Linked DNA regions of Arabidopsis thaliana. The protein of the gene in region 1 purifies or fractionates together with the protein of each later gene. This does not show direct contact. Each region holds a gene or a part of one and is shown on either strand. Other genes may lie near its edges. The genes, in order: AT5G19760, GAMMA CAL1, GAMMA CAL2 and LHCA3.

Region 1 (6,765 bases):
GGGCTGTCTTCGTTGATCTCGAGCCTACCGTTATCGACGAAGTTCGTACTGGTACTTACCGTCAACTTTTCCATCCAGAGCAGCTCATTTCTGGGAAAGAAGATGCTGCTAACAACTTCGCTAGAGGACATTACACTGGTGAGAATCCACTTTCTGCTTGTTCTAACTTGTTAGGGTTTTTGAAATGGTCCTTAGAATGCTTCTTGTAATTGCAGTTGGGAAGGAAATTGTGGATCTATGTCTTGACCGTGTGAGGAAACTTGCCGACAACTGTACTGGCTTACAAGGGTTTTTGGTGTTCAATGCTGTTGGTGGTGGAACTGGTTCTGGATTGGGTTCTCTGTTGCTAGAGCGTTTGTCTGTAGATTATGGAAAGAAGTCTAAGCTTGGTTTTACCATATACCCTTCTCCTCAGGTACTCTTTCTTTTGCTAGACACTGAAGTAGAAACTCTTACATGACATGTTTCTATAGTGGTCTAATTTGGATGAAACTTGGTTTTAATGCATATTCCTCTGTGATGTCAGGTTTCTACTGCTGTTGTAGAACCTTACAACAGTGTTCTCTCAACGCATTCCCTTCTTGAACATACGGATGTAGCTGTCCTCTTGGATAACGAAGCCATCTATGACATTTGCCGCAGATCCCTAGATATCGAGAGGCCAACCTACACAAACTTGAACAGGTTGATATCACAGATCATTTCATCCTTGACAACATCTTTGAGGTTTGATGGTGCCATCAACGTGGATATCACTGAGTTCCAGACCAATCTTGTCCCATATCCCCGTATCCATTTCATGCTGTCATCTTATGCACCAGTCATCTCAGCCGCCAAGGCTTACCACGAGCAGCTATCAGTCCCTGAGATCACCAATGCCGTTTTTGAGCCAGCTAGCATGATGGCAAAGTGTGACCCGAGACACGGAAAGTACATGGCCTGTTGTTTGATGTACCGAGGAGATGTTGTTCCCAAAGATGTTAATGCTGCTGTTGGCACCATCAAGACAAAGAGGACTGTTCAGTTTGTTGACTGGTATGATCTAGAAATGGATAAAGCTGCTACTGTTTCTACCTTCATGTTGTTATTATATAATAACTCCTTTGGCATGGGTTTTGTTTTGCAGGTGCCCAACTGGGTTCAAATGTGGAATCAACTACCAACCTCCAACAGTTGTTCCAGGTGGTGACCTCGCTAAGGTTCAGAGAGCTGTATGTATGATCAGTAACAACACAGCAGTTGCAGAGGTGTTCTCACGGATCGACCACAAGTTTGATCTCATGTATGCGAAGAGGGCATTTGTCCACTGGTACGTTGGTGAAGGAATGGAGGAAGGTGAATTCTCTGAGGCACGTGAAGACTTGGCCGCACTGGAGAAAGATTACGAAGAAGTTGGTGCTGAAGGTGGAGACGATGAAGAAGATGAAGGTGAAGACTATTGACACCTTTTCTCAAAAAAACTGCAACCAAAAAAAGTTTTTTCGTTTATCTGTTTTCACTTTTGATTCTGTTGATTGTTTAAATCCTGTAAAATATTCGTTCGGTCTTCGTGTTTTATCTCGGTTGGATACATTTTCATTGGTAGAGCGACCATTGCGAGTTCCCGAGTTCATTATCAAGCTTTTGTTGTACCAAACTTTGATAATCTTCTTACAACTGTCCATTTTTCCTTGAAGTATAATCTCGTCTATCGGTGCGCTAACGTTTATCAACGTTCTGTATATGCTTTGTTGTCGTATCAGCTAATAATACATTTATGAGATTCAACTAATGTTAACAAACCACGTTGATCTTCACAAAAGGGCATCAGAATTATCAAATTGCATCAGAAATACTGCTCCACTGGTCCACTATCTAAAATACGGCGTGAAAAATGCCAAAAATTATTGAACAAATACAAAATACAAATACAGAAGATCAATTTTTTTAAAAAATTAGAATTTATTGGACCCAAAAAATTCAGAATACTAACGATTTTCAACTTCATACTAGAAAATTAGAAATGGACGAATGTCAAATCTAAAATTCATATGAATGCGTAATAAATAACTCTAAATATTTGGATTGCGTAAAATCCGAATGGTGAAAAGTAAAGTCCAAATTAATAAATTTAGAAAATATGTCTGGCTTAGATCAGATCTCATATGCAAATGGAAAAAAATAAAAATTAAAAAGGCAAGGGTTTGGTGCAATTTAGTTTCAGTTGGGTGGTGTTAATATAAAAGGCCCATAAGCTTCACACTTCATCGTCTCCTCTCCACCAAGTGAATCTCTTTCTCTCTCTCTTTTTCTCCGCGGAAGGAATCTCTTCTTCTGGTTGCGTTTGAGTCCGTACGAAAACAAAAGAAAAGAGAGAGATGGCGGAAGAGAAGAAAGCTCCAATCAGTGTCTGGACTACCGTGAAGCCCTTCGTCAATGGCGGTGCCTCTGGTATGCTCGCTACTTGCGTTATCCAGCCGATCGACATGATTAAGGTCTGTCAAATGTTTACGGATACACGTTTCTGTATCACCCATCTCTATGTCTAAGCTCGTTAGTATTAACAATTCTTGCTTGATTTGCTGGTATTGATACCTACGAAATCCGTAAATGTTGTTCATCAGATCCGAGTCTGTAGATTTTATCTCTCAGATCTGAGTTTTTGTTTTGGCTTATTATAATCAAATTTCATTGCTCGGAACATAGTCAGACTCGTTTGAGTGTGAATTGTTGCTATTGATACATGTTTAGATGAAATGTTCTAGTTCAGATCTGGATTTTGATTAGAATAACGTTCTTAGGTTCATCACAATGTGTGATTCTTCGCCTGTGTTCATAGGATTTTTAAATGATGTGAATGTAATTAACTAATACTTTGTTTTGTTTCTGGTTGGTGAAGGTGAGGATTCAACTTGGTCAGGGATCTGCAGCCAGTATAACCACCAACATGCTTAAGAATGAGGGCGTTGGTGCCTTCTACAAGGTATAAATTGCATTTCTGGATGCATTACTTATCTTGAAGATGTACGTTTTGTGTAGTATGTTTTCTATTGATATGTTCATGACTTTTGTTGATTTGTAATGTATATGATTTCTGCATTTCCGGATCTGAGTCTCAGCTATTCAAAGAATTAATTTCCTTATCTAACAGTCTTTCCAACAACAACATTAGTTATACCCCATTGAAGATGTCTCCTGAGCTTATTTGATGTTAATTTTTTTTAATAGGGATTATCTGCTGGGTTGCTGAGGCAAGCAACTTACACGACAGCCCGTCTTGGATCATTCAAGTAAGTTAGTCATTCGTCTTTCGTCTTGAGCCCATCCAGATGAATAGATTTTTATTGCCTTATGGTTATGGATAAATCATCCTCTCTTCTGTCAATCTTATTAGGTTGCTGACTGCAAAGGCAATTGAGTCTAATGATGGAAAGCCTCTACCGCTGTATCAGAAGGCACTATGTGGTCTGACAGCTGGTGCTATTGGTGCTTGCGTCGGTAGTCCAGCCGATCTAGCACTTATCAGAATGCAGGCCGATAATACTTTGCCGCTAGCTCAGCGCAGGAATTATACCAATGCTTTCCATGCGCTTACCCGTATTAGCGCTGATGAGGGAGTTTTAGCACTTTGGAAAGGGTGTGGGCCCACTGTGGTCAGAGCTATGGCTTTGAACATGGGAATGCTTGCATCTTATGATCAAAGTGCTGAATACATGAGAGATAATCTTGGTTTCGGGGAGATGTCTACGGTCGTAGGTAAGCTGCTCTTCCAAGTTTCTCATACAGTAAGAATATATTTTTTCTGTGAGCAGGTAGATAGCAGTTAGAGTCAAGGATCCTAAGAATCAATCGTCTTGGAAATTTACATTTGTAGCATATAATCTCCTGATTACACGAGTGTTAGATTGTCATAAATTAAATGTGTATTTCACTTAATACAATCTATCCAAGAACTACACCAAGGAAAATACTTTATTAATGAGAGGACTCTCTAAACTCTCAACCGTTGCCCAAACCCAGATCTAAGACCAATCCAGAATGGATCCCATTGCGTTGTCCTTACTCCCTTTTAAGAGCTACTAATTGTAAGGTCGCTCAGTTGGCAAAACTACACTTTTCTCAACTTCCTAGGCTTGTTACACTAGTTCTGCACTAGACTTAACAAGAAACCTTTATCAGTATTTTCATATGGTCATGTAATCTCTGTATGATAAATTGTAGTTAAAATAGATCTCTGAGTTTGGTTTTTGTTTACTTTAACAGGAGCAAGTGCTGTTTCTGGGTTCTGCGCTGCGGCTTGCAGTCTGCCATTTGACTTTGTCAAAACTCAGATTCAGAAAATGCAACCGGATGCTCAAGGAAAGTATCCATACACAGGTTCGCTCGATTGTGCGATGAAAACCTTAAAAGAAGGAGGACCTCTGAAATTTTACTCGGGTTTCCCAGTTTACTGTGTCAGGATTGCCCCTCACGTCATGGTATAATAGCTCTTATCTCCCTTTTTTGTTTATGTTATTGTAATTACCACTTCGTGATTGCCTCTAAGATAGTTGTTGATCGGGTTTTCTTTTGGCAGATGACATGGATCTTCCTAAACCAGATTACGAAATTTCAAAAGAAGATTGGTATGTGAGGAACAAATACAGCAGCAAAAAAATAAGATGAGAAGAACGAAAACACAATTGGAATTGTGTTCATTTGCTTTTTAATCATATACATAACCTGCCTTAAAAGCATATTATTGTAGCTGTTTGAACTTTAATTTTTTGTTTCGGTCGGTGATTGGTCCGGTGAATTTTAAATTTTCTTCTTTGGTGGAAGTTTAAGACACATAGCCAGAGATTTCAAAATTTTCATACGAACTAAAAAAATTCTCTGAATGAGGAAACAATAAATATATGAAACATTGATGATGGGGAAATATTTGAAGTGCTTGAAGAAAAGCTTGTTTCAACTCTAAGAAAATGTCAAGTGCAGGGTTCCCAAATAATTGTTTCGAAACACCAAACATTTGCATCAGCAGACAAGACCGTTTCCCCAAAACTCTGCCGATAACAATCCAGCAACCACCTCTAGGCTCCAGGTAAGAAACATGTCTACTTTGCAACAACTTCTTTGTGAGCTTTGAATGATAAAATCACATTCCAAGCCAAAGCCACTACGTTTGAAGCAAGTACCTGCAATAATTCATATATAAGACATCGATTCATCCTCAAAGCCAAAGAAAATCTTGCTAAGCATACTAGCTAGAAGCTAATGTCATTCAAGCGTAATTCATCTCAAGCTCATCATGTCAAAGATGTTTTTAACAAGGGCTCAAAAACATGAAAATGCGTAATAAATTCTCAAAGATTATACTAAGCAGAGGATTAACAGCGTGTGGGTCGTTATTCGTTATGTATGAAGCATATCTATCTTAACCCAATTGTATTTTTTTTCAGACTCCCGTTTCATGTAGTCACAGAGTTTAGTATCAAACCTGGTAGTTCTGTGGAACAAATCTGAAGTTAAGAAACTGAAATGGTATCCATAGCTGCCAATTTGCTATCATTGCACCAGTCCACTCCTATACAACCAGCAATTCATGGATTCAATTAGAACACCGCAAAAGATACAAAGTATCAAATTTAGATTCCTGCACCGGAAATATTAAGTTTAGTTAGGTTTTAATCCAACCTGTTGTAGCTTCGGTATGACATTTGATGGTTTTCCTTCAAGTGTCACAACTGCTGATAAGAAAACTCCAACAAAAATAGGAGCAAAAACAAACTGCAAATACAAATTTTGGTGTTAAGTGCTAACACAGAGGAAGCAAGATGGGAACATAATTGTTAGACTGGGAACAGGAAACTTTGCTACCTGATCCAGTAGAAGTCGTATAACTGCGCCTGATAATCCAGAAGCTGTCACCACTTTGCTCAAATACAAATACCTAATGGATGGAGTTGAGAGATTTCAGAGAACAGAGAATAAGCATAAGTAATATACCAATGGATGCATAAGTCTCTTCAACTGAAGAACCACTAGCAGAGACGTAATATAGTTAGCTTTTGCGGTGTCATACGAGTGAAAGGTCCACGGAAATACCAGAAATGCAATGTTGGACCGACTAGCCCTAAGCCCAAGAAGGTAAAGGTGAGTGTCCTCTTCTTGTCCAGCGATGAGGTCTTGTTGATAGTAAGCTGCAACCAAAAGTGATACGAATAAGCAATGTCGCTCACATATCTAGCAGAATACGATCAAGCATTATAAAGAAAATGGGGCTTTACTACATTATCCTGTATTTTGGGTCTATTAGCTTCCATTCTAACTTTAAAAAAGAGATAGCACAATTCAAGTTAAAGTCTGTCTGTTCAGAAATACATAATGCAGCAGCTCATGAATACTGTTTTATCTCGATATATCCTGAATAGTGAAGAATCCAAACTTCAAAGATAGCACAAAAATGAGAGAGTTACCTGACAGATCAAATCTCCAACGAGGTTCAAAAGTGCTGCGGTCACAGCTTTGGTCAAAACAGGAGAGTTTGAGAGAAGAGCCTGGTACCTGAAGCACCATAGAAAAAGGCACACAAAGTGTGTTTATGCTCAAGTCAAAAGCAAAGAATCATACTAGAAAAAAAGTGTTCCGTGAGTAAATTATTAACACATCCAAGAAAAATTTCCAACATCTGCTTCAATGAATTGCTTTTCAAAGAAACATCTTTACACAAGAACAGGAGTAGTGACAGGAGCAAGTAAGAAAAATTACCATGAGAGAAGTGACCACTTCTTTCCTTTTCCGTCG
Region 2 (6,231 bases), about 19 Mb from region 1:
AAAAACATAACTACCATTTTGGTAATATATAGAAATTACGGTGCCTGAAAACTTGTTAATGAAGCTTGTTTGCATTGCAGATTATGCCATGCCTGCTGAGACTGTTATTGTGGGTGGTCAAATTGGCGAGTTTTTACATAAACGTGGTAATGAACCAAGAAATGTTCAGTTGCAGAAAGATGATATCAGAGTTCTCGCTGGCTTAATATTTGCAAGAGATAGACACAGACCTGCTCGTAAGTTTCCGTGGTTTTAATATTAGTTTCTTAAAAAACTACAGTACATCGAGAGACACACTTTATCTTTACTATGCTAGGTTAAATATTTCAGCATCGTTCTTTCATGTTGTGCTGGTTATGTGTTTCCGATTAAAATCTCTTCTTTTCATTTTACTCAACTTGTTGAACTAAATGAAGCAGAGGCTGAAAGAATTCAGTTTGACACTGCAATATCAAATGGAATGTCATCGGTTGATCTGAGGTACAAGGCGGCTAATGTCAATGTTAGCCTCGGCCCTAGTTGTCCTTCGACGCTTCTGACTGCCAAAAGAAGAGGAGAAGCAGAGGTTCTTGATGGCGATCAAATTCTAGATGACATAGATAATATTGTAAGCATCTGAAGCCAATCTTTTATCTAATCCTGAAATCAGTTTGGTTACTTAACTGACTTGAAATTTGCAGCTAGAAAACTATATCTGGGAGAATGATTCATACCTCGGAGTAATAAAACGTAGAAAATACTCAATTGGTTTGGAGGAGAAGCCAAAAATCATGTCCTCCCTTGTATTTCATCAAGTGAATGGGTAACGATCGGATCAACAAGTATCATAACATGAATCTGTCCCTTTTGACCCATCTAAGTTTTTTTTTTTTTGGTTTGCTTACTCAGATCTGACGATCAGGATCTTTTAGTTGATGGTGCCGGAATCAAAACCGGCGACCAATTCCAAGTATACCTCCCTGATCTCAAAGTGGCTGAAGCAGCACTAAATGATGTTTCTGCTCAACTTAGAAATCTCAAGTCTAAGCCGAATAAACCGGAAGTCGTTGGAGGTTTTGCTTTCGTCGGTAGCTGTCGCGGTGATTCCTTCTTTGGTTGTCCAAACGCAGACAGCTCACCGTTTTTAGAGAACTTCCCGGAGTTACCGTTTGGCGGTATATTCTGCGATGGTGAAATCGGACGCAGCTTAATCTTGGAGGAGGGAGAGGAAAAGAAAGAAGTGAGCATCCAAAGATTTCTTCACGTTTATAGTTCGGTATATCTTATTGTCTCGTATACATCTTAATATTAAGGTGTCTGTTTGTTTTATGCTTATTAAGAGAATGATAAGTTAACTACAACTAGGACTAAGGAGGCAATAACTCTTGCTTTGCTTTCCATCTCTTATTAATCTTATCTCTTTCTTATTTTTCTTGCTTCTTTTCACTTTGATGATTTGGTTATGTGCAGGAACTTTGAATTTATAGAGTGAGAACAAAAGGGTGTTGATTTACGAATTAATTAGACATGAGTTATATGTTTATAACCTACAAGCAACGGAAGAATTTTAAAGATTTTCAAAATGTAACCCATATTGAGTAAATTCCATTACATAATTTTAGTTTGACCTACGTTCTTCATTCTGTCAAATAAAACGTCACAAGTCCTGTATAATTAATTCTTCTACACAATGTTCCTTTTAGTGATCCCAAATAACGAAAAACCATTTAGTTTAGTTATTTGTTTTGTTTAATTGCTCACAACAACAAAACCAGAAGTCGTCGCCATTATCATTCAGACAATATTCAGCCAAAATCAGTTTTAAATGGAATTTTACAAAGAACCCAAAAAACGAAATGACAAACGTTTTAGAACCAAAAAAGAGAGCCGGACTTGTTTTGATGTTCATCAGCTACTTATTGCAATATGCAGAGAGAAAGACCTCATATGATAGATAAACACATGAAAGTGAATCACGAAAAAGATGAAGCTTCTAAACGGCGATCCCAAGGGACTTCTTGAACTTCTCTACCTCTAAGTAGACAGTTGAGTAAGGTAGGAACTCAGAGAAGTAATCTCCGCTTAAGTGGTTGATGGCTACAGCGAGTTTTGGGATCTCTAGGGTTTCTTCGTTGGTTAGGGTTCTAATGAATCTTGCTGGATTGCCTCCCCATAGTTCACCTGATGGGATCCTTCTTCCTGGCGGCACAACTGAACCCGCTTCCAAGATTGACCGGGTCTCAACCAGTGAGCCTTCCATTAGTATTGAGTGTTGACCGATGATGCACTCTGGTTCGATGGTACATGATCTCAGAAGACTGTAGGCACCTACTGTCACATACCTGTCGATTATTGTCGCTGCTGGTAATCCTGAAATTTTAAAATAGATACCCCAGAATCAAATTTGTGATGTAAAAAAAGAACCAAGATATAAATTTAGCCTTGAAAGATAAACAAATAGTTTCATCAATGTGACAAGTTGAATAGATACTGTTCCGGGTCAAATAAAATTCAGCAGACCCTATCAAACCAGAATGGTCACTCTTCAAATGTTTTTACTTGAAAACTTCCCTTGTCTAAACCTTGGAGCAAAAACAAGTTCACATCCATGTGATACAGCTTTATCACCATTGCATCCCACTTCCAGTCACGAGTGACCAGAAAACCAAATCCTTGCATAAGTCATTAAAAAAACCAAAATCCTTTTATCGAGACATTGTTCCCAAATTTCTGCTAAGAAACTTCCTACTACTACACAAGATGATCGTGTGTGGTACTACGCTAATCTATTCAACTCTCAATATTAAGCTCAATCTTCAGTTAGTTTCTTGATTCCTGTAATGCTAATCACCTAAAGAACAACACGTTTCCACACACATAATCGGCGAAGTTAAAACTCATTATGCTCAAAAGAGTAAGAACAATAGCCACAGCCACAGTTCACTGGACGATTCTTCAAGCAAGAAAATCTGTACTCGAGAGAACACTATTATGCAGAACCAATTTACTTAATTGTCCATATAAGTTCTCGACTCTTCAATAAGCTTTTCATAACTGAAAATGGACAATGAAAACCCCTAAATCCCAATCAACATTGTCTTGATTCCATACAAAAAATTGGATAATCAGAACACAATTTTTTTTGAAAATGGAAGGAAGGAAGCAATAACCTGTTGGGGAAGACCAGGCGGCATGAACAACACACCGTTCCTGTACATTCGAGCAGAATCCAACAGTGATTTTGTTGAGATCGCCGCGCAAAACGGCACCGTTCCAAACAGACGAGCCGTCCCAGACTGTGACCTGACCAGCCAGCACAACGTTGGGTGCCACGTAAGCATCAACGGCTACCTTCGGAAGCCACTGTCCCAAAGGAATGATCTGTCGTTGGCCTCTGTAGTCCCATTTCACACGATCCGTCGACGGCGACACCGTGAATTGCGGTTTAGGTAACTCTGTCTTCCTCGCCAACGCCGCTTCCGCAGCGAAGCAACGACGGATCAGGTTAGAAGTGACTCCTCTCCGAGACAATCGAGCTATCGAAGTCGCCATTGCTATGGATTTTGGATTTCTTCAAGGATTTGCAAAGAGGAAAAGAGAGAGAGTGGTCGTCGAAAGATTCACCTGAAATTAAACGAGATACAGCATATTGGGCTTTTTAACGGACCACAGGCCCAATAATAGTAAAACGTCGTCGTTTCACTTATTAGGTGGATGTACATTAGGTGTCAAGTAGCATTTGAAAACCAAATTAAACCAGATCCCAAACAAACTCTACAGATTGATACCAGATTCAAAAACAAAACTGGATGTTGTATCATTTGGTGAAATTTTGATTATATTCACAAATCCGAAAATGTTACAAACAAAACAAATCCAGACCTTACAATCAAATTGAAATAAAACCAAGCAGCACCGGTTTGTCTGGCTAAACAGTTAACCGGAATAGATGTGGACGTTTATGGCGATGGTAAAGATAGTGATGAGACCAAAGAAAATGATGGCGTGAACGAGAATCGAAGCGCCACTCGTCTGCATATTACCGAATTCGACAACTCGACCTCCCGCCGGAATCTGGAAAAGAAGCCCCGGCGATAGAACTACGAAGAGGATCACGGCGATCAACACTGGGCCCCAATCCGCCATAACTTCTTGTCTTAAAGAGAGAAGAAATGAATTTGGAGAGAGAAATAGAGAGTGGTGAAGGAGCTGGAGTATTTTTGGTTTTAGTTAGAGACGAAGCTTCTCGTGTGATGTGAAAGCTAATGCTGTGGTGAACCAATTGATGGTATCCACGTGGACATACTTTAGGTTTAATTATAAAATTATTGTTTAGTGGGAAAAGATTTCGAACAACGTGAATCTTATACATATGGGCTTTGAGTTTTCGGCCCAGTATTATAATTCATAACTTATGTTTGGTCCATATCCATGAAGCTAAAGTAGCTTTGGTTATTGACTATTGTTGTGAGTGTGACCTCAATTCTTTTCTTTTTTTGGTCAAAATTGTTGTGACACCAATTCTTTTTCCTTTTGGTCAAAACTGTTGTGACATTGATTCATTTCACTGTTTTTAACATTGAAATATTCAACAATTAATATAAAGTTTGAATATTAAAATTTCTGTTTTTTTTTTTTTTTTTGGTTCACACAGATTTCACAACCATGGATGGAACAAATCCTTAAATACATTGTAAGAAACTGAAAATGAGACAGAATGGATATTTTATTTTCATTTTGTTTTTAGTCTACACGTTTTTATCCAGATAGAACACAGAACTTTTAATATCCTAATTAAATTAACCTGTTTTAAGAAAAAATCAGTTTGAATTTTCTGTCTTAGACGAAATCCAATTTGTCCAAAAAAAAGGAAAAAAAAAAATCCAAATGCTAAGAAGAAAGAGTAAAAGGCAAATCCAATAATCAACATATAAAAAATAAAATCCAGAAAAAGTATCAACTCGTGTGTAATAATGACCATAAATAGCTAATGACGATAAAACCCTTTGCCAAATGAGAAACAAATCTTTGATCCACTTGTCATAGTTCTCAAATATTGAGGATATAAGTGTCAATAACCAGATATAAGAAATCAATATATTGCCCCCCCAAAAAAAAAAGCAAAGACCAAAAAAAAAAAAGGTAGCGATCGTCCAATTCGACAGAGCATCGAAATCAAAGAATCCGATTGGGTGAAAATCGCAAAATAAAACGTGTTTTTCAGAGAGAAAAATCACAGAATATTTCTTGCTTTCTAATTTTCTTACATTTTCCCGTCACTTTCCCGGGAGAATCTCTGTAATCTTTCTCGTCTCACAAATCGTCGTTTTCTCTCTTGCCGTTATCTGTCTCACGAACATTTTGAGAAAGGAGAGAAGAGAGCATCTACGAAACGGAACTAATCCCAACTTGGTGTAGCTCAGTTTTTTCAATCCCAGAATCCATTTGTTGACCCGACGAATCCGCCTGGTAATAGCTTTGATTTCACGAGTTTTCTGATTCTTATTAGTGTTTGTTTTTTGGCGTTTTGTTTAGTTTCGATTCCAGAAAAACTTTCCTTATTCGAATTTTGGTAATCATTTCGTAAGCGTTGACGATTACAAGGGTTTGATTTTTTCTATATCATACAGTAGATATGGCTAGCCAAGGCGGGCCAAGACGGAGCTTATCCGTTACGACTGCGTCATTGCACGGAAAGAAGAAATCCATGGATATGGCCGAACGAGGTCTCGATACTGGCCGGAGATCTCTTACTGTTTCTCGTTCTCCTTTGTAAGTCTCAGCTGGGTCTCAATCTTATATATAAACCCTAGTTTATGCTCGTATTCAATTCATAGAGAACATCTAGCTCCTCAGGTTTACCTTATTTCTTTTCCATTGAAGCTATTGTGATTTGGTTTTAACTTTTTTCTCTCATCTGTATATGGAGCAGGGGTTTAACAGGAGGCGAGCGGACTGTGAAACGGTTAAGGCTATCGAAAGCACTTACAGTACCAGCAACAACAACTATATATGAAGCTTGTAAAAGGATGGCTTCACGACGAGTTGATGCCTTGTTGTTGACTGACTCTAATGAAATGCTTTGTGGTATTCTTACTGATAAGGTATGCCACTATTCGCTAAGTGTAGTTAAAAAGTTAGAAACAGATTGGAAGAAGGAAATGGAGACTTCATTGATCTGTGTGTATGTGTGTCTTTTTTGGATTTTCAGGACATAGCTACAAGAGTGATTTCACAGGAACTTAATGTCGA
Region 3 (6,092 bases), on another chromosome or scaffold:
GTTGGTAATAGCAATTCTGATAAAAGAAGTGCAAAGGAGAAAGCAAGTCACCTTGCTCTTGTCAAATACCTTCAACAAGATCTTGCTGATTCAGCTTCAGAAGCAGAGCCTTCATCAAAGCGTCAGAAAAACGGAAACCCTATTCAAGATTGTGATCATGACGAGAAGCTTGTGTATCCTTGGAAAGGTACACACTTTAAAGGTTCTTACTTTTCTCCTTAAGATTGTACTGCAATGTGTGTTTAGTGTTTGTGTATATGTGGTTGAAACAGGTATTGTGGTGAATATTCCAACTACAAAGGCACAAGATGGTCGATCTGCGGGCGAGAGTGGATCGAAGCTAAGGGATGAGTATATTCTAAGAGGATTTAACCCGACTAGAGTTCGTCCTTTATGGAACTACTTGGGACATTCAGGAACAGCTATTGTGGAGTTTAACAAAGATTGGAATGGACTTCACAATGGTCTTTTGTTTGACAAGGCTTATACAGTAGATGGTCATGGGAAGAAGGACTGGTTGAAGAAAGACGGTCCCAAGTTAGGTCTTTACGGTTGGATTGCTCGTGCTGATGATTATAACGGTAATAATATTATTGGAGAAAACTTGAGGAAGACGGGTGATCTGAAAACTATAGCTGAGCTTACGGAAGAAGAGGCGAGGAAACAGGAATTGCTTGTGCAGAACCTGAGACAACTTGTAGAAGAGAAGAAAAAAGACATGAAGGAGATTGAGGAGCTTTGTTCAGTTAAGTCAGAGGAACTTAATCAGTTGATGGAAGAGAAGGAGAAGAATCAGCAAAAGCATTACCGTGAGCTGAATGCTATACAAGAAAGAACAATGAGTCACATTCAAAAGATAGTTGATGATCATGAGAAATTGAAGAGGCTGTTGGAGTCAGAGAGGAAGAAACTCGAAATCAAATGTAATGAGTTGGCAAAGCGCGAAGTGCACAATGGAACCGAGAGAATGAAATTGTCTGAAGATCTTGAACAGGTATCCATTTACTCTCTGTATCTCTCTTTTCAAGATATATGTTCAAGAAATAATTGGTTTTTTTCTCTTATCAGAATGCATCTAAGAATAGCTCTCTTGAACTAGCTGCCATGGAACAACAAAAGGCAGACGAGGAAGTTAAAAAACTTGCTGAAGACCAAAGGGTTAGTGACTTTCTTCTTCTTTGTAAAAATGGTTGGGCTTATTTTCGTGATTACTGAGAAAATTCTGTACCTAACAGAGGCAAAAGGAGGAGCTTCATGAGAAAATCATAAGACTAGAAAGACAGAGAGATCAGAAACAAGCGATTGAGCTAGAAGTTGAGCAGTTGAAAGGACAGCTCAATGTGATGAAGCACATGGCATCAGATGGCGATGCTGAAGTTGTGAAAGAGGTGGACATCATCTTCAAAGATTTAGGTGAGAAGGAAGCACAACTCGCAGATCTCGATAAATTTAACCAAACTCTTATCCTTAGAGAGCGCAGGACCAACGATGAGCTTCAAGAAGCTCATAAAGAATTGGTAAACGTATGTATCATTCAAAGTGTTGTTCTTTTCAATCACATCGAAAAGCTATGAGAAAGCTTGACATTTTACTAAAATCTTGGTTTTGTTTGTTTCATGTGCCTTCATAGATTATGAAAGAATGGAACACAAATATCGGTGTTAAGAGAATGGGAGAGCTCGTGACGAAACCATTCGTGGATGCAATGCAGCAGAAGTATTGTCAGCAAGATGTGGAGGACCGAGCAGTTGAAGTTCTCCAACTTTGGGAACACTATCTCAAAGATTCAGATTGGCATCCATTCAAGCGGGTCAAGCTCGAAAATGAAGATAGAGAAGTGGTAAGACCGCCTTCTTGACTCTGTTTGTTATGTTGAATCTCTCTGAAAGATTAAAAAGCTTTTTTGGTGTTGTTGTTAATTGTGTTTAGGAAGTGATAGATGATAGAGACGAAAAGCTGAGGGAGCTAAAGGCAGATTTGGGAGATGGTCCTTACAATGCGGTCACGAAAGCTTTGTTGGAGATAAACGAGTATAACCCGAGTGGAAGGTATATTACAACAGAGCTATGGAACTTCAAAGCAGATAAGAAGGCTACACTTGAAGAAGGTGTCACTTGTTTACTTGATCAATGGGAAAAGGCGAAACGCAAGCGTGGAATGGCTTAGAGGTTTAACCATTTTTGATAACCGAACAAAAATATGTTTTCATTTGCAATTGTTATTTGCTAATATAGGATTTCGATTGATGGTTTGCAGCTGCAAGATGATGGACATGGGACTGAATAAAAAGCCGATGCGGTTTTTAGTTGCAGAGAAATGTGTTTGGTTTGACCAAACTTTGGTGGATTCTGTTTGTTTTTCTTCTCAGAACTTAGTGAATAATTGACACAACTTTGATGTCTTGCATCGGTTCTTTTCATTGTAACATTTGTAGGAGTTTGGCCGCTTTGGACAATAAGAAATAAAAATATCATTGTAATATAATTCACATGTAAAACAACTAGATTTGGCCTCTCTTCTGTCTCATATCTTAAGCATGTCATTTAGAACCTTTTATTGTAAAAACAAACTTTGTCATGAGTTACTTTTTGTAGTCAAATTTGATATTGACCCCTTCCTTATTATGCTAACACTGTTTTCATCTTATAACCCTATAAATCTAAGTTTCGTGAATATAGCCAAAATCATCTACATCATTGCAAAGAACCTTAAAGGAGAAAGAAGAAAACCGGCTTGAGAGAGATGGAAAACAACTCAGGAGCTATTCTCTTTGTGATCTTAGCTATGACCATTGTTCTTCAAGTGAGGCCAGGGTTCTCTCAAGCACTCCCTACGATCCCCGGACTTTTCCCACCGGGTCTTCCTATTGATATCATAAAATGTTGGTCATCTCTCTTTAACGTCCAAGGATGTGTACAAGAAATCTACAAATCGATATTTTCTGGTCAGTTTGCTAGCATTGAAGCCCCATGTTGTAAAACGTTTTCAGCTATAGATACAAACTGTTGGCCACATATGTTTCCATTGAACCCATTCTTCCCTCCTATTCTCAAGAACAACTGCGAGCGTATTGCTACGACTCCATCATCAACACACAAGTGAAGGCTACACACAAATGTTGCGAGCCAGTTGTTAGCTTCGAGGTTTAAGAAGTTCTTTTATCGATTTGAGAGATCACAATGCCCAATAATCCAAAATTCTCCTTGCAGTAATTTTTTTTTTTTTGTAATCTTTAGCTTAAAATAAACAAAGCTAAGCTTTTTGATGTACTCGTATGTGTTTGCCATGTAGTTTGTTAAAAGAGTGGTTATAACATAAACAAAATTTTGTTTGCGTTTATATATGAAAATATTGTTCTTACACTATGGAATAAAACATATTTCAGCATTTAAAATTTGTAAAAACGACGAACACGAACGCATATCAATACCATACCAAAAAGATTATATCGTACATGAAACTTGTTGCAGACAATGGCATGACTAATGGGCCTCTATTAACTTAGCCCATAAGGCCCAATAAAACTTTCCAAATAGTTTCATTTTTCAGATTTTGAAGAATCTCCCGACGACTCCTCTCTGTCTCCTCCTCCGGGAAGCTTTCTGTCTCTCTCTCTCTCTCTCTACACAAGACCTTGAAGAATCCGATTCCATAACAATGGCGACTTCGTTAGCACGAATCTCTAAAAGAAGCATAACATCGGCTGTTTCATCGAATCTGATTCGGCGTTACTTCGCCGCGGAAGCAGTAGCGGTGGCGACGACGGAAACACCTAAACCGAAATCGCAGGTGACGCCGTCGCCGGATCGGGTAAAATGGGACTACAGAGGCCAGAGACAGATAATTCCTCTGGGACAGTGGCTACCGAAGGTAGCTGTAGATGCTTACGTGGCACCTAACGTTGTGTTGGCTGGTCAGGTCACCGTCTGGGACGGCTCGTCTGTATGGAACGGTGCCGTTTTGAGAGGAGATCTTAATAAGATCACCGTTGGATTCTGCTCAAATGTCCAGGAACGGTGTGTTGTTCATGCTGCGTGGTCGTCGCCTACAGGTTCTTGTTCTTTGTCATTTTTTCGGAATTTGAGTCTCTGTATGGTTCCATTGTAGCTTCTAGTTTGAGTTCTGGATATCCAATTGCTGTAGTTACTGCTTGCTAGCTAATGGAATCATTGATATTGGAATTTAGGGTTTTCATTTTCATCTTCCATTTTGATTATGGAAAATGTAGAGTCTCACCTTTAAGGAGATTTTACACTTTTATCTGAAGTAGTGAAGTGTAAGTAAGCATATTTGTTTGGAGTGAAGATGTCCCCAGATCAAGAATCATGAATGATATTTGTTCAGTAAAGTTAATCTTCAGAGCATTTTGCGTTTAGCTAGACAAGGATGCATAGAATTGCGTAGTTCTTTAGGTGATTAGTGATATTGGAAGCAAGAAACCCATTGATGATATGTGCTTGATTTTAAAATTTAGGTAATTCAGGGGTTGAATAGATTAGCATGGTGGAGACCATCTTGTTTAGTTGTAGAAAGTTGCCTAGCAGCTCTGGAGAAGTTTCAGGAACTATGTCATAGTAAAGATTTTTAGTTATGCGGAGAGAATTTTGCAGAAAGTTGATATTATATTCAGTGGTTGGAACCGAGATTCTGAAGCTGCGTCAAGCTGAATGAACATAAGCGTCTTTTAGTCTTACCAAGGTGGATTCCGTGTCAAAGTCTTTAGTTCAACAGCCTCCTGGTTTGATTAAGCTGTAGTTTACAACTAGTACTTAATTACTTGATTCACCATTTTTTCGGGTTAATAGCTCTGTATTATCAACCAGTCTTCATGCTTTTTCTATACTAACATCTTGAAGGATAGAGCATACTGTGGTGCTGCTTTTGAATTTTGATATGATAGATAAAAATCTGATCTTAGAAGATACTTTCTACTTTGATTTTTTTCAGGATTACCAGCACAAACATTGATCGATAGGTACGTGACAGTTGGTGCATACAGTCTTTTAAGATCATGCACTATCGAACCAGAATGCATCATCGGGCAACACTCAATCCTAATGGAAGGTTCACTGGTCGAAACCCGCTCAATCCTAGAAGCTGGTTCTGTTTTACCACCTGGCAGAAGAATCCCATCTGGTGAACTATGGGGAGGCAATCCAGCAAGGTTTATTCGAACACTCACCAATGAAGAAACCTTAGAGATCCCGAAACTTGCTGTTGCCATTAACCACCTAAGTGGAGATTACTTCTCAGAGTTCTTGCCTTACTCAACTATCTATCTAGAGGTTGAGAAGTTCAAGAAATCCCTTGGAATCGCCATCTAGAAAGCTTCTTCCAGGTTTCTGGCTACTTCCCTCATTAAGAAAGCTTCTTCGTTTTCGGAATTTGATCTGAATAAGTAGCTGCGGAACAAGAAAAAGAGCAGAGCTGTGTTTCAAATGTTGTCTTCTCTGTTTGTTTTGTTTAAGTTCATATCCTTGTGTTCAAACTTTCTATGAAGATGATAATGGTGAAAACTGGAAAGTGTAAAACTTCTTTCGTCTCCCCTCACAATTGGAAAAGCTAATAATCTCGTAGTGTTATAGAATTAAACATCTCGTACTAAAATATTTTCATCTTCAATTTTTATTGTGTTGCTTTGGGCGAAAAGCCAATCACTGAAACATTACAGAAACTGAGAGACGCAACTAAAATATGTAGTACCAAATTATTCCAATATCTCTAGAGAGCACAAAGCTAGTTCCCTCCCTTAATAAACCCTGAGAATTTATGCATGACTTCAATAGCATTATCACATTCAGGTTTCAACAAATGAAAAACATGATCTTCTCCTTCACTCTCCACCACTTCAACCTCTCCTTTCCAACCAGACTTCTCAAGCTTAGCCGCGTAACCCCAACCCTGCCTCACCAACGCATCTTTCTCAGCCACCATTACCAAAACCTTACCACAACCCAACCCAGACAAATCCACCGACTCTGATTGCACCACGTTGAGCAACGGATCATCTGTTCCATCTTTGCTATTAGGACTTGCCATCATCCAAAACGCCTCTATCTTCATCCTCAACGTTTCATCTTTCGTATCCTTCT
Region 4 (5,561 bases), on another chromosome or scaffold:
GATCTTTTCTTACTACTCTTTGACTTACTTGAATATGAGGGACCATTGCCAACATTGCTTTGAGTAGGAAGGATATGCGCTGCTTCATCATCATCTAGATTTAGAGGGATCTGCCTTGATTCACCATCATCATCTTGAGTTATAGGGATCTGCGTTGAATCACCATCATCATCTTGATGCATTGAGTCTAATTTCTCTTCACCTTGTTTAGGAGCCCAGCCCTCGGCTCCACTGATATGCACTGTACCAAATACCTTTTCCATCAAATCCACATTTGCCACTGGCTTATCTTTAAATTTCCGAGCTCCAGGCCATTCTTAACAAACAATGAGAATAAACAAACAATGAGAACTTGATCTAGAACAAACAAAGGACAGAAGAAGTTTAAGAATCTATATACCTTACACCGTTCATTCCACCAATCATCAGACATTCTTATGCTCCCATTTGGATAGTAACCAAGACCGGTTCTGTTGTGAGTCAGCTTCTTAAAACCTTCATACTGCTTCTTACAAGTAGTAAACTTGATCCCAAATTTTCTCCATGTATGTCTTTCCCATAAACCTCATAAAATCTATCTATAATAGTCTGTCTCCCAGCATCATTGACATTCTGATTCCTAATATTTCCTTTAAGCTTCTCCTCAATTCTTAGTTCAAGGTAGAAACGAGTTTGCTCATCATTCCACGCAAGATTCTTAGTTGATCATGTGTTTTTGTACAAAATCAGTCTAAATTACAGAAAATGTTACAGTAAATCTAAGTTTAGAGGAAAATATACTCACATCGGTACCATTGATAGTTGTCATCTGTAGCACACAATGAAAACAAACGTTTTGTAGTTGTGTTAGAACAAGATCAAAGATACCAAACAAATAAAACAAAGATCAGAGATAACAAAGCAAACAATACACAACTTATGATAACAAAGCAAAGCAAATAAAACGTGTACAAAGATTAGAGATAACAAAGCAAAGAAAAACTATTTGATATTGAACAATCATGAGATATTATTCTTGACTATTTCTACAGTATTTGAACTCAAACCTTAGACGAACTCATGCTACTACTACAGAAAGCCAAATGCAACCACTAATTACAGAGGACGTACCTGAGAAACCAAAGCTTTCTTACTTGGAGACAAAACTTGCTGAAACAAGGACTGAAGAGAAAAAATCTTTTATAAGATGAAATTCTCCCGTATAAATAAGCAGTTATAAGCTATACACGAGTCACAACATCATCAATCAACAAAACTCAGAGCCAAACTTGTTCTTCGAGACTAAATAGAGACTAATGCAAAGTTTTTTATCAATGAGCTATACACGAGTCACAACATCATCAATCATTGTATCTCAAAACAAATCAGATAACACAATCTGGATCCTAGCTTTCTGCATCAAAAATACAAAAGACCTATAAACACAAAAACAATTCCACTTTGGATGCAATTGAACACGTCAAGGAGGCAGCTGAAGTTTGTAACTATGGATGGTCAATCTAAAGAGGGCTAAAGTGCAGATGCTAAAGTGGCAGCACCAAATGGTTCTGTTGCTCCTAATGTAGAGACAACAAAGCCTCTTAAGAGCAAATCGAAGACTCAAAAGCAACACAAAGCAAGCAAAGCAACACAAGCCGTAAACTAAAGCTAATCGAAGAATCAAAAGCAACACAAAGCAAAGTAAAGCAAACCCACAATTAAACAATGTAACCATGGTGGATCAAACCCAAGAACAAGTGATTGCAACAAGGATACAAAGAGAAACAACGAGAGAGACATGGAGCGAGAGAGAGGAAGCGAGAGAGGGAGAGAGAGAGAGAGAGAGAGAGAGAAACACAAACCTACTACACTCCGGCGATGGATCCGACGAGTCTCCAGTGAAGAATCGGCGACGGCGAGATCACCGGCGAAGAATCAGCATCATTGACGGCTATGAATCTCAATTTTGAGTGTTTTGTGTCGAGGAGAGGGTGAAGAAGAGATGTGGTTTTTGGATGTAATTCCATATATTAGATTAGGGTATTATTGACATTTTATAATTTTGGCTGAATCAGCTTCAGCAGAATGAACAAATCAAACTCAGTCAGATTTTTTTTATTTTTTGGATGAGTTTAGAAAAAAACATTCAACTGAATCATTCAAATGATCTATTTAAACATGAAAAACAAACAACAATTTTCATCTTCATTGAGATGGTTCATCCAAATGGACAAACAAACAGGACCTTAATAGAACAACCCAAAAAAGAACTCTTACAAATTGATTAATAAAATAATTTAATCAAAAAGAATTATAGATTTTTATTTTAAAAACTACAAATAGTTTAAAAAAAATATAATATTTACAATTTCCATCACAAATTGTTTCTTAATGCCCAAGGATGAAGGATCACATAGTTAATAAGTAATTAAGTACTATTTTATTCATGTACTTTCTCTTTGCCCTATCCAGAGTTGCTACAAGCCTAAAACTCGGTTTTACCACGATTTTTCTTTGGTGTATTTGACAGACTATTAATGGTTTGTTTATCTCTATTATCAGTTGAATTGTTATATCAAAATTTGAACTGATTGGGTATAAAAAGAAACTGAGAACTGATTCATGCTAAGGAAACCTTGTTTAACAAATACCATGGATGCTTTTTAACCGTATCAGCCTCTCCAATGTTTTCGTAAATCAATAGTTCAAAATTTTTTTCTACCACACAAGTGCATCTCCATTCCAATTTTCAATCTATATAAATCATATGTATTTTTTGTATCCAATAGTCATCTTTGTAAAGATTTTTTGTTCGTGTGTGGCGGATAAGCAAAAACAGAATAACATAATCTCTTATCCAACTTATATTGCCACGTGGACAGATATAGTTGGTGAAGCAGATACTAATCTAATCTGAGCAAAACCAGTTGGGCTATTTGAAAGCCACAAGTACTTGGAACCTTTGTTTCTTCTACCCTAACATAGCCCTTGCAAACCATAACCAAACCATCATCATCATCATCTCTTGGTGACAGAAGAAAAGAGTTGAGGAACAGAGAAAATGGCAGCACAAGCACTTGTGTCTTCTTCACTTACCTCCTCTGTTCAGACAGCTAGACAGATATTTGGCTCAAAACCAGTTGCGTCTGCCTCACAGAAGAAGAGTTCCTTTGTTGTTAAAGCTGCTGCAACTCCACCTGTCAAGGTACATGACAGTCTCTATTCTTTCACAGATCTCTCTCTTTCTCTATGTACTGAATAATCTGATCTTGATTTTGTGTTTTGGTTTTTCAGCAAGGAGCCAACAGACCATTGTGGTTTGCTTCATCGCAGAGTCTCTCTTACTTGGATGGCAGGTAATGTTCAAACAACTTTTGGAATTTTATTTGTTTTGAGAACTTCATGATGTTCAAAATTTGGAGATGTTCTGATTCTTCTTGCAGCTTACCTGGTGACTATGGATTCGACCCTCTTGGTCTTTCAGACCCAGAAGGTACTGGAGGATTCATTGAGCCAAGATGGCTAGCATACGGAGAGATCATCAACGGACGGTTCGCCATGTTGGGTGCAGCTGGAGCTATTGCTCCTGAGATTTTAGGAAAGGCTGGTCTGATTCCAGCAGAGACTGCTCTTCCTTGGTTCCAAACCGGTGTGATTCCACCAGCAGGGACATACACTTACTGGGCAGACAATTACACACTCTTTGTTCTCGAGATGGCTCTGATGGGATTCGCTGAGCACCGGAGGTTACAGGACTGGTACAACCCAGGATCTATGGGAAAACAGTACTTCTTGGGGTTAGAGAAGGGTTTGGCCGGTTCAGGTAACCCGGCTTACCCCGGTGGACCTTTCTTCAACCCTCTTGGGTTTGGGAAAGATGAGAAGTCACTGAAGGAGTTGAAACTCAAGGAGGTCAAGAACGGTAGACTGGCTATGCTCGCCATCCTCGGTTACTTTATCCAAGGACTAGTGACCGGTGTGGGACCTTATCAGAACCTGCTTGATCACTTGGCTGATCCCGTCAACAACAACGTCTTGACCAGCCTCAAGTTCCACTGAGGTGATCATCATCTCATGTGTTTTTATGTCTCTTGTATCGTACAATATTTCCATCTTTCGCTACCATTGGCTTCTTCGTATTGTAACACCCTGTGTAAACATATTCGTGTTTTGTAAGAAATGACAATGTCAATGGCCAAACGAAAAAACTTTTAGGATTAACAGTTGGCATTTGCAAACCAAACAAAGCGGTTAGTATATTCAAAGAATGTTATGAAATACTGTACCTGTTATGCTTTAAAAGTAGTCTCATCTTATCACTCTGTATCTCCCAAACCACCTTAGACATTTAAGACAAAAACAAATTTAACAATAAGCCATGTTGGTGCTATCAAAGAGAAACACTATCAATGGATTTGAAGACAAAACTATAATTGAAGAAGTAGCTCTTTCGTGTTATCTTTTAAGCCGTACCTAGTTCAGAACTTGCAAGACGAATGGAAAGAAGTTCTCCACCAGCAGAAAATTGCACTGCGTCCATTAGGTCCTGGTTCCACATAAAGAACCCTAGTCCATTGATATAAACAAAGGCCAAGCAAGAACAATTGCGGAGACAAATCTGGTAACAATCTTCAGCATCCAAAACACTTGCAAACCCTAATGGATATATAAACCCTTTGTAGCATTTAAATTTTGGAGGAACGTGCGTCACACACAAACCAAAAGATCCACATCCACTGTACTAATCACATGAGTTCGCTGGAGTCTCAAAGGTCATTATGCTGAAAAATCCTGGCGATTTCTGAAACCCTTCTATCAAAACCCTTCTGGCATTCACAAGATCCAAATAGCTAAAAGAAACCACCCCAACTCTTTGTAACCCTACATTCTCGTTCAGGCATTTCATCGAACAGTTCAAGTGCATGCATACGCCACATGCGATTATAGTAAACACTTAATGTTTTTGAACTGTATGTAGATTGACCGATTCAACCAGCTGGAAGCCAATTCGGCATTTAGGGGAAGCTGACGCAAATTTCCGGTAAGAAGATCCGGTCTAAAATAGTGTTTCCGGTGATCAGGATTTGTCACTCCCGCTGACAATAATATCTGATAGCTTTTCATATTAACCCCTAAAGAATGTTTGATATCCGATATTAATCCCAAATTTTGTTTCATACTATTTTCATCCACCAGATTCAGATCCATATAAAAAGTTTTGTGACTCATTTACCTAATTCAAAAAACGTTTTCCGTAAGGCCCATTTACATGCTAACTTTGGGCCTATATGCCTAGGTTTTGGTCGATTTTTGAAATCAAGGAAACCCTTATTATTCCTTCCTTGATAAAGAAGAATCTTCGTTATTGCCCTATTGACGTCCAAAGCCAGATCTTCCATACGCCGCCATGAACGGCGAAAAACCACTCCGTGAGAGGAAGAAGAAGATGCCGTATCCTTCTCCGGTGACAGAAGAACCAATCTCTATCATGTCACTTCCTTATGACTTGTTATTGAACTGCTTCTCACTCGTCTCAAGGTTGTATTATCCAACTCTCTCCCTCGTTTCCAAAACTTTTCGAT

The links.
Region 2: the proteins of AT5G19760 (region 1) and GAMMA CAL1 fractionate together in Arabidopsis thaliana (co-fractionation; one large-scale study listed by BioGRID). This does not show direct contact.
Region 3: the proteins of AT5G19760 (region 1) and GAMMA CAL2 fractionate together in Arabidopsis thaliana (co-fractionation; one large-scale study listed by BioGRID). This does not show direct contact.
Region 4: the proteins of AT5G19760 (region 1) and LHCA3 fractionate together in Arabidopsis thaliana (co-fractionation; one large-scale study listed by BioGRID). This does not show direct contact.

What each region holds. Positions count from the first base shown.
Region 1 is NC_003076.8:6,677,438-6,684,202, reverse strand, and holds AT5G19760 (Mitochondrial substrate carrier family protein), read left to right. Parts: upstream 1-2,148; 5' UTR 2,149-2,357; coding exon 2,358-2,474; intron 2,475-2,878; coding exon 2,879-2,962; intron 2,963-3,207; coding exon 3,208-3,269; intron 3,270-3,373; coding exon 3,374-3,735; intron 3,736-4,242; coding exon 4,243-4,457; intron 4,458-4,555; coding exon 4,556-4,612; 3' UTR 4,613-4,897; downstream 4,898-6,765. Other genes in the region: TUA3 (tubulin alpha-3), read left to right, coding at 1-138, 216-415, 527-1,035, 1,127-1,442; AT5G19750 (Peroxisomal membrane 22 kDa (Mpv17/PMP22) family protein), read right to left, coding at 5,076-5,156, 5,459-5,545, 5,656-5,748, 5,839-5,911, 6,067-6,161, 6,438-6,525, 6,730-6,765. UniProt on the Arabidopsis thaliana protein: Catalyzes the transport of dicarboxylates, such as oxoglutarate, oxaloacetate, malate, and succinate, and of tricarboxylates, such as citrate, isocitrate, cis-aconitate, and trans-aconitate by a counter-exchange mechanism across the inner mitochondrial membrane.
Region 2 is NC_003076.8:25,421,354-25,427,584, reverse strand, and holds GAMMA CAL1 (gamma carbonic anhydrase like 1), read right to left. Parts: upstream 3,619-6,231; 5' UTR 3,532-3,618; coding exon 3,150-3,531; intron 2,620-3,149; coding exon 2,539-2,619; intron 2,350-2,538; coding exon 1,973-2,349; 3' UTR 1,714-1,972; downstream 1-1,713. Other genes in the region: AT5G63520 (F-box/LRR protein), read left to right, coding at 81-236, 420-607, 681-802, 889-1,285; AT5G63500 (transmembrane protein, putative (DUF 3339)), read right to left, coding at 3,916-4,125; AT5G63490 (CBS / octicosapeptide/Phox/Bemp1 (PB1) domains-containing protein), read left to right, coding at 5,615-5,751, 5,912-6,083, 6,191-6,231. UniProt on the Arabidopsis thaliana protein: Involved in complex I assembly in mitochondria and respiration.
Region 3 is NC_003074.8:18,031,450-18,037,541, forward strand, and holds GAMMA CAL2 (gamma carbonic anhydrase-like 2), read left to right. Parts: upstream 1-3,485; 5' UTR 3,486-3,657; coding exon 3,658-4,051; intron 4,052-4,947; coding exon 4,948-5,324; 3' UTR 5,325-5,592; downstream 5,593-6,092. Other genes in the region: IDN2 (XH/XS domain-containing protein), read left to right, coding at 1-187, 273-994, 1,069-1,158, 1,236-1,523, 1,631-1,840, 1,930-2,166; AT3G48675 (egg cell-secreted-like protein (DUF1278)), read left to right, coding at 2,743-3,102; CXE12 (alpha/beta-Hydrolases superfamily protein), read right to left, coding at 5,737-6,092.
Region 4 is NC_003070.9:22,697,112-22,702,672, forward strand, and holds LHCA3 (PSI type III chlorophyll a/b-binding protein), read left to right. Parts: upstream 1-2,781; 5' UTR 2,782-3,040; coding exon 3,041-3,184; exon of another isoform or gene 3,185-3,273; coding exon 3,274-3,335; exon of another isoform or gene 3,336-3,381; coding exon of another isoform or gene 3,382-3,422; coding exon 3,423-4,038; 3' UTR 4,039-4,301; downstream 4,302-5,561. Other genes in the region: AT1G61540 (Galactose oxidase/kelch repeat superfamily protein), read left to right, coding at 5,387-5,561. UniProt on the Arabidopsis thaliana protein: The light-harvesting complex (LHC) functions as a light receptor, it captures and delivers excitation energy to photosystems with which it is closely associated, here photosystem I.